Linked DNA regions of Ovis aries. The protein of the gene in region 2 purifies or fractionates together with the protein of the main gene of each other region. This does not show direct contact. Links are inferred from orthologs where the notes say so. Each region holds a gene or a part of one and is shown on either strand. Other genes may lie near its edges.

The links.
Region 1: the proteins of KRR1 (region 2) and DDX18 purify together in Homo sapiens (affinity purification with mass spectrometry; 3 studies listed by BioGRID and IntAct, with this or other methods). This does not show direct contact. The link is inferred for Ovis aries from reciprocal best matches to the Homo sapiens genes KRR1 and DDX18.

The regions. Positions count from the first base shown.
Region 1 is NC_056055.1:183,038,147-183,042,551, reverse strand, and holds the end of DDX18 (ATP-dependent RNA helicase DDX18), read right to left. Parts: intron 4,206-4,405; coding exon 4,149-4,205; intron 3,826-4,148; coding exon 3,648-3,825; intron 3,188-3,647; coding exon 3,045-3,187; 3' UTR 1,246-3,044; downstream 1-1,245. UniProt on the Homo sapiens protein: ATP-dependent RNA helicase that plays a role in the regulation of R-loop homeostasis in both endogenous R-loop-prone regions and at sites of DNA damage.
Region 2 is NC_056056.1:111,527,403-111,531,918, reverse strand, and holds part of KRR1 (KRR1 small subunit processome component homolog), read left to right. Parts: intron 1-254; coding exon 255-427; intron 428-2,000; coding exon 2,001-2,135; intron 2,136-2,318; coding exon 2,319-2,444; intron 2,445-2,531; coding exon 2,532-2,615; intron 2,616-3,692; coding exon 3,693-3,749; intron 3,750-4,516. UniProt on the Homo sapiens protein: Part of the small subunit (SSU) processome, first precursor of the small eukaryotic ribosomal subunit.

The DNA.
Region 1 (4,405 bases), on a different chromosome or scaffold from region 2:
AAATAAAGCAGCTGTAAGAAGCAAGGGGCTAAAGTAAAAAGATTCAAACCACTCTGCAGTGTTGGTGTTTCATTCCATCGCCAGCACATGACTTCTCTAGACCTCCAGGGCTCCTAAGAGCTCAGCCATATGCATGTGTGTCCTCCACAGCTTCTGGCACCTAGCAGGCTCTTAATTCATCAAGATTTACGGTTGAAGTCAGTGTTCTACCAGAACACCCAGTCTGAAGAGTAGCCTTGAAAACTGCATGAATCTACCTGATGGTTGTCCTAAGAAGGTATGACAGGATTGGAGCACTTCCCAAAACTTAGGTCTGATCGGAATTCCAGGGGACCTGGACTGTCAAAAATCCTTGGTCTATTCTCCAGAAGGCCCAAGCTGGTTCAGGCTTTTCAGAGTCTGTGTACCTACTGCTGTTGGGCAGCAGGCCTTCTGTGTAGGATTTATGTACTGATAAAGGCAGCCAACAGGTACTGAGTACTTTACACTGGGCACCACCCTAGTACCTTACGTTACTGCATTCAGTTCGTACACCCTTACAAAGTAGGTTTTGGTACTTTTTTTGTTCTACTCATTTAATAGGCCCAGGAAAGAGAACTGGAATTGGAATCCAGGCATTCTGGTTCCAGACTTTTTTAACTACTATGCATTTTTGAGTAAACAAGACACTTTTTAATTTGAATTCAGCTTGCACCTGGGCAGTAAGACCAAAAGAAATCTAGAAATTGCAATGACATCACCACCTGCAGCCTGGAGGACCTAAAGGTTCCTACTTGGATACAGTGATCTGCTTGGCTCCTGGCCTGTGCTGCCCAGCCTCGCTGGATAAAGAGGGCACTCAATCCTATTTGTCAAATCAATGGCCCCACACATGCCACCTGCAGCTGTGCTCTTAGCACAGGGACTTAAGCGGTCTTCTGTGTGCAAATGGGCCTTGAAGATTCTGGTGACTGGCTCCCTCCCATGTGAATCCTGGCCAGGCAGGTTGTCTGGATGTGCCTAGGCGGGACTGGCTTTGTGAGCATAATCTCATATAGGACTCCCAGCAAGTCCTGAGGTTAGCCATTATGGGAGTAAGAATAATCTTTCCACCCTCTGTTTATATGCTTTTCTCACAAATGGCAAGACCAATGGACACCAGATACAGTGTAACAAGGAGAGCCAGTCTGGGTGGGAGAGGCAGGCATCCAGGGCTCAAGTCCAGGCCAGACCAAGCAAGGTGAAAGCAGTAATAATGATACAAAGTTGATGTAATTGTTTAATGACACAGGAAAATAAGTTATGAAACAAGATGGTTACAAATACAGGGTAGAGGATCATTTAACTTCACTTTTGATAAGAAAAATTAAAAAGTACATATACAAAACACTGGAAGATTAAGTATCAAAATATTAACAGTATTTACTTCTGTTCAGTGATTAAATATTCTTCTCTGCTTTTGTGTACTTTTTGAAACATGATTATTTCTGAAACAAAGAAGTCACTGTAAAGAGAAACAGGTATTAAATGCCAGGAGTCCAGCAAACAAGGTCTGAAGCCCAGCACATGTCCAGCAAGGGGGACGGTGGTCAAGCCCAGATGTGGGATAGTATCATTCTTTTCCTACTGGAATGCTGTTTACCAGACTTGTTTCTTCGACATTTAATATTCTTAGCACATTTAATAGGAATCTGAATATTAACTGGTACAACAGTAAAATGATGTTAGCAACTTTGGTTTTAAATTACTACAAAACATGGTAACCATTTTGTAGTTATAAAATACACTAGAAATAAGACATCAAACACACCAGAAATCAAAAATTCCTACAACAAAAAACCCCATCTGACTAAACCACTGACTTTGCTATTCTGCTGTGTGCTCATTTTTAGTTTTCATCATAAATCTATTTTCGTTTCACGGATCTGGAAGAGGCAGTTTTCCTCAAAAAGATGCTTTTGCCTTCTAAATACTGTTGGAAGTATTTCAAGTTGGAAGGACTCACCAAAATTGAAACCACTTCAAAGAAACAAACTTGCCTGAGGAGTGGCGCCGTTCTGTGTGCCTCAGTCTGCTAAGCTACCAAATGCAGAACAGCAGAGACTACACTTGTAAGTGAAACTGAAGTATCTGGGACTTCCCCCACCCCTGGTGGCTCAGAGGTTAAAGCGTCTGCCTGCAATGCGGGAGACCCGGGTTCGACCCCTGGGTCAGGAAGATCCCCTGGAGAAGGAAATGGCAATCCACTCCAGTATTCTTGCCTGGAGAATCTCATAGACGGAGAAGCCTAGTAAGTGACAGTCCATGGGGTCGCAAAGAGTCGGACACGACTGAGCGACTTCACCACCACCACCACCCTCAATGTCAGGACTGCTAGAGGCGCTTTATTCAAATAACAATGACAACCCGTATTTCTTACTCCTGAAAAAGTAAAATGGAGAAAGGCTCATTGTTTTAAAGTCTGGCATATAAAAGCCCAGTGCTCCCTTAACTGAAGGTGCTTCTTAGGGATTTTCCAAAGCTCTCTGCCCTTTCACACAGTAATATTTTCAGGAGGGGTCAAAAAACTACTGTTAAGATCCAAGAAAAAACTGAAACCAAAAAAAAAAAAAAAAAAAAAAACAATTGAGACAATTTTTCTGCACCCCCACCACCTGTCCAGTGTCTGGTCATCTGCCCTTTCTGGCAGGCTGACACAGCAATCCAAGTCACAAAAGGTTTCAGACACTAGGAAAGCAAGGTACCAAAAGAATTACATTAAAACAGTAACAAGTTTGGGGGAAAAAAAAGATTTACACTTAGAAATATCCTATCATCACAAAGACTAGAAAGATGCCTTGCTTTGCTCTTGGGCAATCAAGACATTGCAACCTGTTTTATATCCCCAAAAAGGAGACTCATTGGAAACCTCAGTGCCTGTGACCCAAGTCATCTCGTACTCGTTCAGTTCAGTTCAGTTCAGTTCAGTCCAGTCGTGTCGTTAGATGAGTCCAAATCCTAAAGTAACACAAATTCCTTTCTTACAGCAAGAAAAAGAACATCCATTTCAGGACAAAGATATGTCTTCAGTGAGAAAACTGCCTGCGGTCAGATGGCTTCTTGCTTATGTGTTTGAAGATCTTGGACTTCTCGACTTTCTTGGCTTTCTGGTAGCCAAATCCACCGCCACCGCCTCGCTTTCTAACTTTGCCGTCATTGCTGTTCACATCTAAAGGGGGCATTAAGGAAATCCAACAACACAAAGACAGACAACTCCAAATCACCACCCAAGGGAGAACCAGTCAGCTGTACACCAGGGGCCCCACCACCCCTCCTTGAGCTACCACAATGTGAACACTCGAATCAGGAGTGGCCACATGACTGGGGGCTAAAACTAGCAGGTAGGATTTTTAAACCCAGTTAATACTTAACATATTACAACTTGCCTGGCTTGCTCTGCCACTCAAATTCCATGTCCTTTCTTAAAGCCATAAACTGTCTCATCTCTGTCGTCTCCACCCTGACTACCCCATGCAAGCACTGACACAAGGTCAGTGACTGAGATGACCACCTGGGCCCCAGGCCTCAGCCAGAGCACAAGTCAACCTGAGTGCTAAGCCCCAAAGCCCCTGGTCAGGCTTCTGGCCCATAGTTCCTGGACAAACTCATAAGCACACAGAAAAGGATACTCAAATCAACAAAAGGAGGCACCTTGAAGCCAAACGACAGAGCAACTTGAGGCAAATTTAAGTTATTAACATTGAAGATCTGCTTCAGGGAATGGGAATCATAGGCGCGAATGTATGACTTATATGCTTCCTGGGCTGACTTATGAAGGAAGTAGTTCTTTTCAATCAGTTTTTCAAGCTGAAACAGAAATAAATATTGGCTTTAATACAAGAAAGCACAATTCATCTATAACATGTGTTCCAAAACACTTGCTCCAAGCTTTGTACTGCCTGCAAAATCAGGGTGCAGTAAGAATAATGACAAAATTCATGGAAGGTACAGAATGAAACCAGGTAGACAGTATAGGAACGTGCTCACCAGCACTGCAGGACACAGCAATGATCACTCAAGTCCAGACTTCCCACTTTATGGAAAGGGAGGCTTGGAGGAGAGTGACTGTCAATGAGACTACAGAGGCAGGGCTGGGATGCCCCCCGCCGCCCTCCACCCCTCCCACATACCTGAGACTGAATGTCAGAAATTTTGGACCAGGAAAACTCAAATTCACTTAATGGAACCTAGAAAATAAAAGCATGCAGGTTAGAAAGCTGGGTTGGTCTGACGCAGCTCATTAGTCACTGAAGAGACGGAAGGGAAAAGGCTTGTGGAATTTCAATTTCACCTGTTTCCCTGTCTTCCAATGCCAGTGGGAGAGGTGCACCTTTCCTCTCCTAATGCACACTGAATGGAACCCTCCACAAAGAAAAGGTATGAAACT
Region 2 (4,516 bases):
TGTGGACCCAAGGAGCAGAGTCCCTGCCCTCAAGGAACTTTGTCTGTGACGTGACTGGAACACATACTACAGATAATTCTAATACAGTATGTTGATAATGACAGAGGCATGTTCTTGGACTGTTGAATAATATAAAAAGCAGGGAAGAAGGAAATGCATGAGAGTATTGGGAAACTTGTGCATGTATGCGTACAAGTGTTCAAAAACCTTCAAAAGAAGTTAAATCTGATGTGTAGATTTTCCCTCCTCTGTAGATGAATCTGAACTCCTCACTGTTCCGGATGGTTGGAAGGAGCCAGCTTTCTCCAAAGAGGACAATCCCAGAGGACTCCTGGAGGAGAGCAGTTTTGCAACTTTGTTTCCGAAATACAGAGAGGCTTACTTGAAAGAGTGCTGGCCGTTGGTACAGAAAGCCTTGAATGAACATGTATGCATGTTTTCTGTATTGCTCTGAGATTGTTATTGCTTGTATCTTTTAAGTGAGTGAATGTGTGATGATGGACTTCTGTGTAAAGGTGCTAGCATAGCTGTTTAATTTGATGCGTTTGGTATTTTAAACACACTAGATAAGCATTATCCTTACTGTTCATTTGTTCTTAGTTTTGTGAATAACAGATTACTTGGCAAAATTCACATGCTTTTACATTTTTAGGGGATTTAAATTTGTAGGGGTGTCTGAACCTCACTTGGAATCTCCAGATTTCAGAGTGTCTACTCTCTGCTGTGATGATTGCCGTCCACCTTTGCGGTTTTGAGCTGAGGCATGCTCCTGGCATTGTTTAACATCTTATTGTAAACGAAAGACGATGGATGTGAGCGACTTTCCTGTTTGTTGTTCCTGCCTTGCTCCTAGAGCAGTGTATTTGATTTTATTTTTCAAACTGGATTGAGACCCCTTAGAGAATCAGGAAGTCAATTTAATGGCTATAGTGAGCCTTAGGAAAAAAAAATCACATGTGGTAAGGATAAGGATCATTTTATGAAGCGTTTGGTTTGTCTCTGTGTGTTTGTGTACACCCTAGGTTGTTATTGAAAATCTGTTTCTCAGCTGTGGGACTGCTCTAGAGTCATTTGTGCCCACCAGGCATGAGAGTGGTTAGCAAACCAGGCCATATTTTAGAGCTGTCTATATCTGGGATTAGACCCAATTTGTTTCTGTGTGTGTGTGTGTTTAAACTGATAGACACCTGACCTTATGTTTAATTGTTCATCATTCATTGTATTGAAATATTCTTGAGGTCATGCTCACAAGTTAGAAAATAGCATTTTTATTTGCTTTGTTGAAGTCTGGTTCTTTTGAAAGTTAATGCATAGATTCTCTAGTTACTGCTTTTATTTTTAAACCTATGACAGTTTGTTTTTACTTTGTATTTAGCTAATGTTGTTGTTGTTGTTTAGTTGCTCGGTTGTGTCCATGGACTGCAGCCCACCAGGCTTCTCTGTCCATGAGATTTCCCAGGCAAGAATACTGAAGTGAGTTGCCATTTCCTTCTCCTGGGGATCTTCCCACCCCGGAGATCGAACCTGCGTCTCTTGCATCTCCTGTATTGATGGGCAGATTCTTCACTGCCAAGCCACCAGGGGAGAGTTTGAAAGGGAAAGTCTATTTTCACTCTAGGGGGAAGATTTTAGATTAGAGCAACATCTAGCCAGGGTAGCGAAATTACAAGCTTTACATTTTTACCTTTAAGTCTTAAGTATGACCTCATTTTGATTGATGTGTTTTTTTAGACTGGAGGTAATATTTATTCCAGTAAGTGTAAATTATCCTAAAGCCAACTATAAATGTTTTCAATTACCTGAGTTTCTTATATTCTTTGAAATCTAAACGTAATCAAGTATCCCTTATTTACATTAACTTTCCAGCTTCTTCAAGGAGAGAGTTAAAGGATTTTGAGATATCTTAATGGCACAGAAATTAATAGTTAGGCTAGGACAGGCTCTGTAATCATCTAAAATTGAATTCATCTTCAGATAACTGTTGTTCGCTCCTTTTGTAGCATGTTAATGCAACCCTGGACCTGATTGAGGGCAGCATGACTGTCTGTACTACAAAGAAGACATTCGATCCATACATCATCATTAGGGCCAGAGACCTAATCAAACTGTTAGCCAGGAGTGTTTCGTTTGAACAGGTAACTTTAGAATTAAATTTAGACTTTGCTTTATGTGCAGCAACATTAGAGACAACATATATCACTGCCGCCACCCCCCTCCCCACTAAAACGTTTTCATTTTTGTGCTTTAATTTCTTGGCTTGGAAAACATTTGTACTTGTAAAGAATGTTGATGAGCTATTTTCTTCATTTTCCCAAAAGGCAGTACGAATTCTTCAGGATGATGTTGCATGTGACATCATTAAAATAGGTTCTTTAGTAAGAAATAAAGAAAGATTTGTAAAAAGAAGACAACGGCTTATTGGTCCCAAAGGATCTACTTTGAAGGTACTTTTTATTAGTGAAAAAGTATGTCTTCCTCTGTTGTTAGTTTTTCAGTGTACTGAAGTGCAACTTTTTGCTCTTTTGATATAGGCATTGGAACTCTTGACAAACTGTTACATTATGGTTCAGGGAAACACGGTTTCAGCCATTGGACCTTTTAGTGGCTTGAAAGAGGTGAGATTTATGCTCTTAAATTAGTTTTAGCAGAGAATAAATGAAAGAATATGGGTATACTATAATAGTTCATTGGATAATGTATTGTTTCGTAATTTAAGTGAATTGTGCTTTGTTTGATTTTCATTAGTAAATTCTTCATGTAATTTGAGGGAATAGCCACTGCTGAACCTTAGCATATCACGGCTAACTTTTGGTAACCACAGAGAGATTCATTTCTGAATTCATCATTACTTCCCCTACTACAGGTTTTAAGTGGGTATTTTAAGCTCTCAGTCTGTAGCAAACATTAGAAGACACATGGGTTTGAATGACTGGAGAACTGAGCAGATCTGTTCTTCGCAGTAACAGCCAGTAGAGGTCAGGCCCAGAAGACTTCTTTTAAGATGTATTTTCCTTGAGTTTTAATATGTTAATGTTTCGTGAATATTAGTTTGTCACATGTTATGAGAAAATCTATAGAGCACATACTGTTTCTGTAAGCTCCTTTTGAGGCTTTTGTTGTATGTATCTGGCTGTGAGCTCTTACTTCCTTTCCAGGGCCTTTAATAATACTTCTTCTGGACCTCTTTCTCATAAGTATCTGCTTTTTTCACATGGCGCAACAACAACTTAGGCGTTTTGAGTATTTCATAGTTTTGTGGAGTCTAAGTATATTATTTAATTCTTACAACAGATCCTTAAGGTGGTTTTATTTCAAATGTATTACAGAATTCAAAAGCTGAAGTCAGGAGGAAAATTAAGTGACTTTCCTCTATGAAGTCCCAGCATTTGCTCACATATTTTCTAACTCTAAGTCCAGCTCTCTTTCCCTAAATTGCACAGCTCCAGACTGTTGTGTTAATTCTGCGTATCACTTTTTTAGCAGTAGAATTGAGAGACTTCATTGTATCCAAGTGAGGTTAACTATTATGAAAGATCCAGAAGCCACTCAGAACAGTTGAAGGGACTAGTATATCCAATTTCGTAGCCATTGCCTGGTTCGTAGGTTATTTTGCAATATATTAATCCTCTTCTACCTAGTTCACTAAAATCTTCATTATAAATAACTGATTCATTTTTCTTTGCAAATTTCAGGTTCGGAAAGTAGTCCTAGACACTATGAAGAATATTCATCCAATTTACAATATTAAAGTGAGTGTTCACTGTTCATTAGTATAACAGTGGTTATCAAATTGTTTTTAGCTACAGAAACTTTTCTTGAAAATAAATCTTTTATGAAAGTCTAATATACAAAACAGATAAAGCAGAACTATTTGGGTAGAGTGAAGCCCACTCAACACTATCCCAGTCCTACAGTTCCTTCTTTGAACTTTGAGGAGTATTGTGTGAAAGAAAGCTGTTGAAGGGAGCTCTGTAATGTAGTGATTCAGTTCTGATACAAATAAAATATGCTTCACAGAATTTGTTGTAAGTGAGTAAGTGAGGTCGCTCAGTCATGTCCGACTCTTTGCGACCCCGTGGACTGTAGCCCATCAGGCTCCTCTGTCCAGGGGATTCTCCAGGCAAGACTACTGGAGTGGGTTGCCATTTGTTGTAGAGGGTACCAATTCAGTTTTCTTAGGCTAAGGAGCCCACAGACTGTATTTAAAAGTGTGATCTTTTAGAATTCTGCCATTTTCTGTAAGTCTGGAATAATTCAGATTGCATTAAAACTTGTTTTGGAATTTAACACTCAAATTATAGGCTCATTGAGAGAGATGTTATATCCCTGTATGCATAACATTCAGTGATTGTTTTTGGAGACATAACCATGGTATGTGATGTTTTATGATGGATATTTGTTAAACAGTCCTTGAATTTGATGAATTTGAAAAGTCACTCTTAGATTGGGGTGAAAAAATGATTTTGCGTTTCATTGGGACATTAAAGAGAGCATGTCTTGCGTGTGATGCCTACTT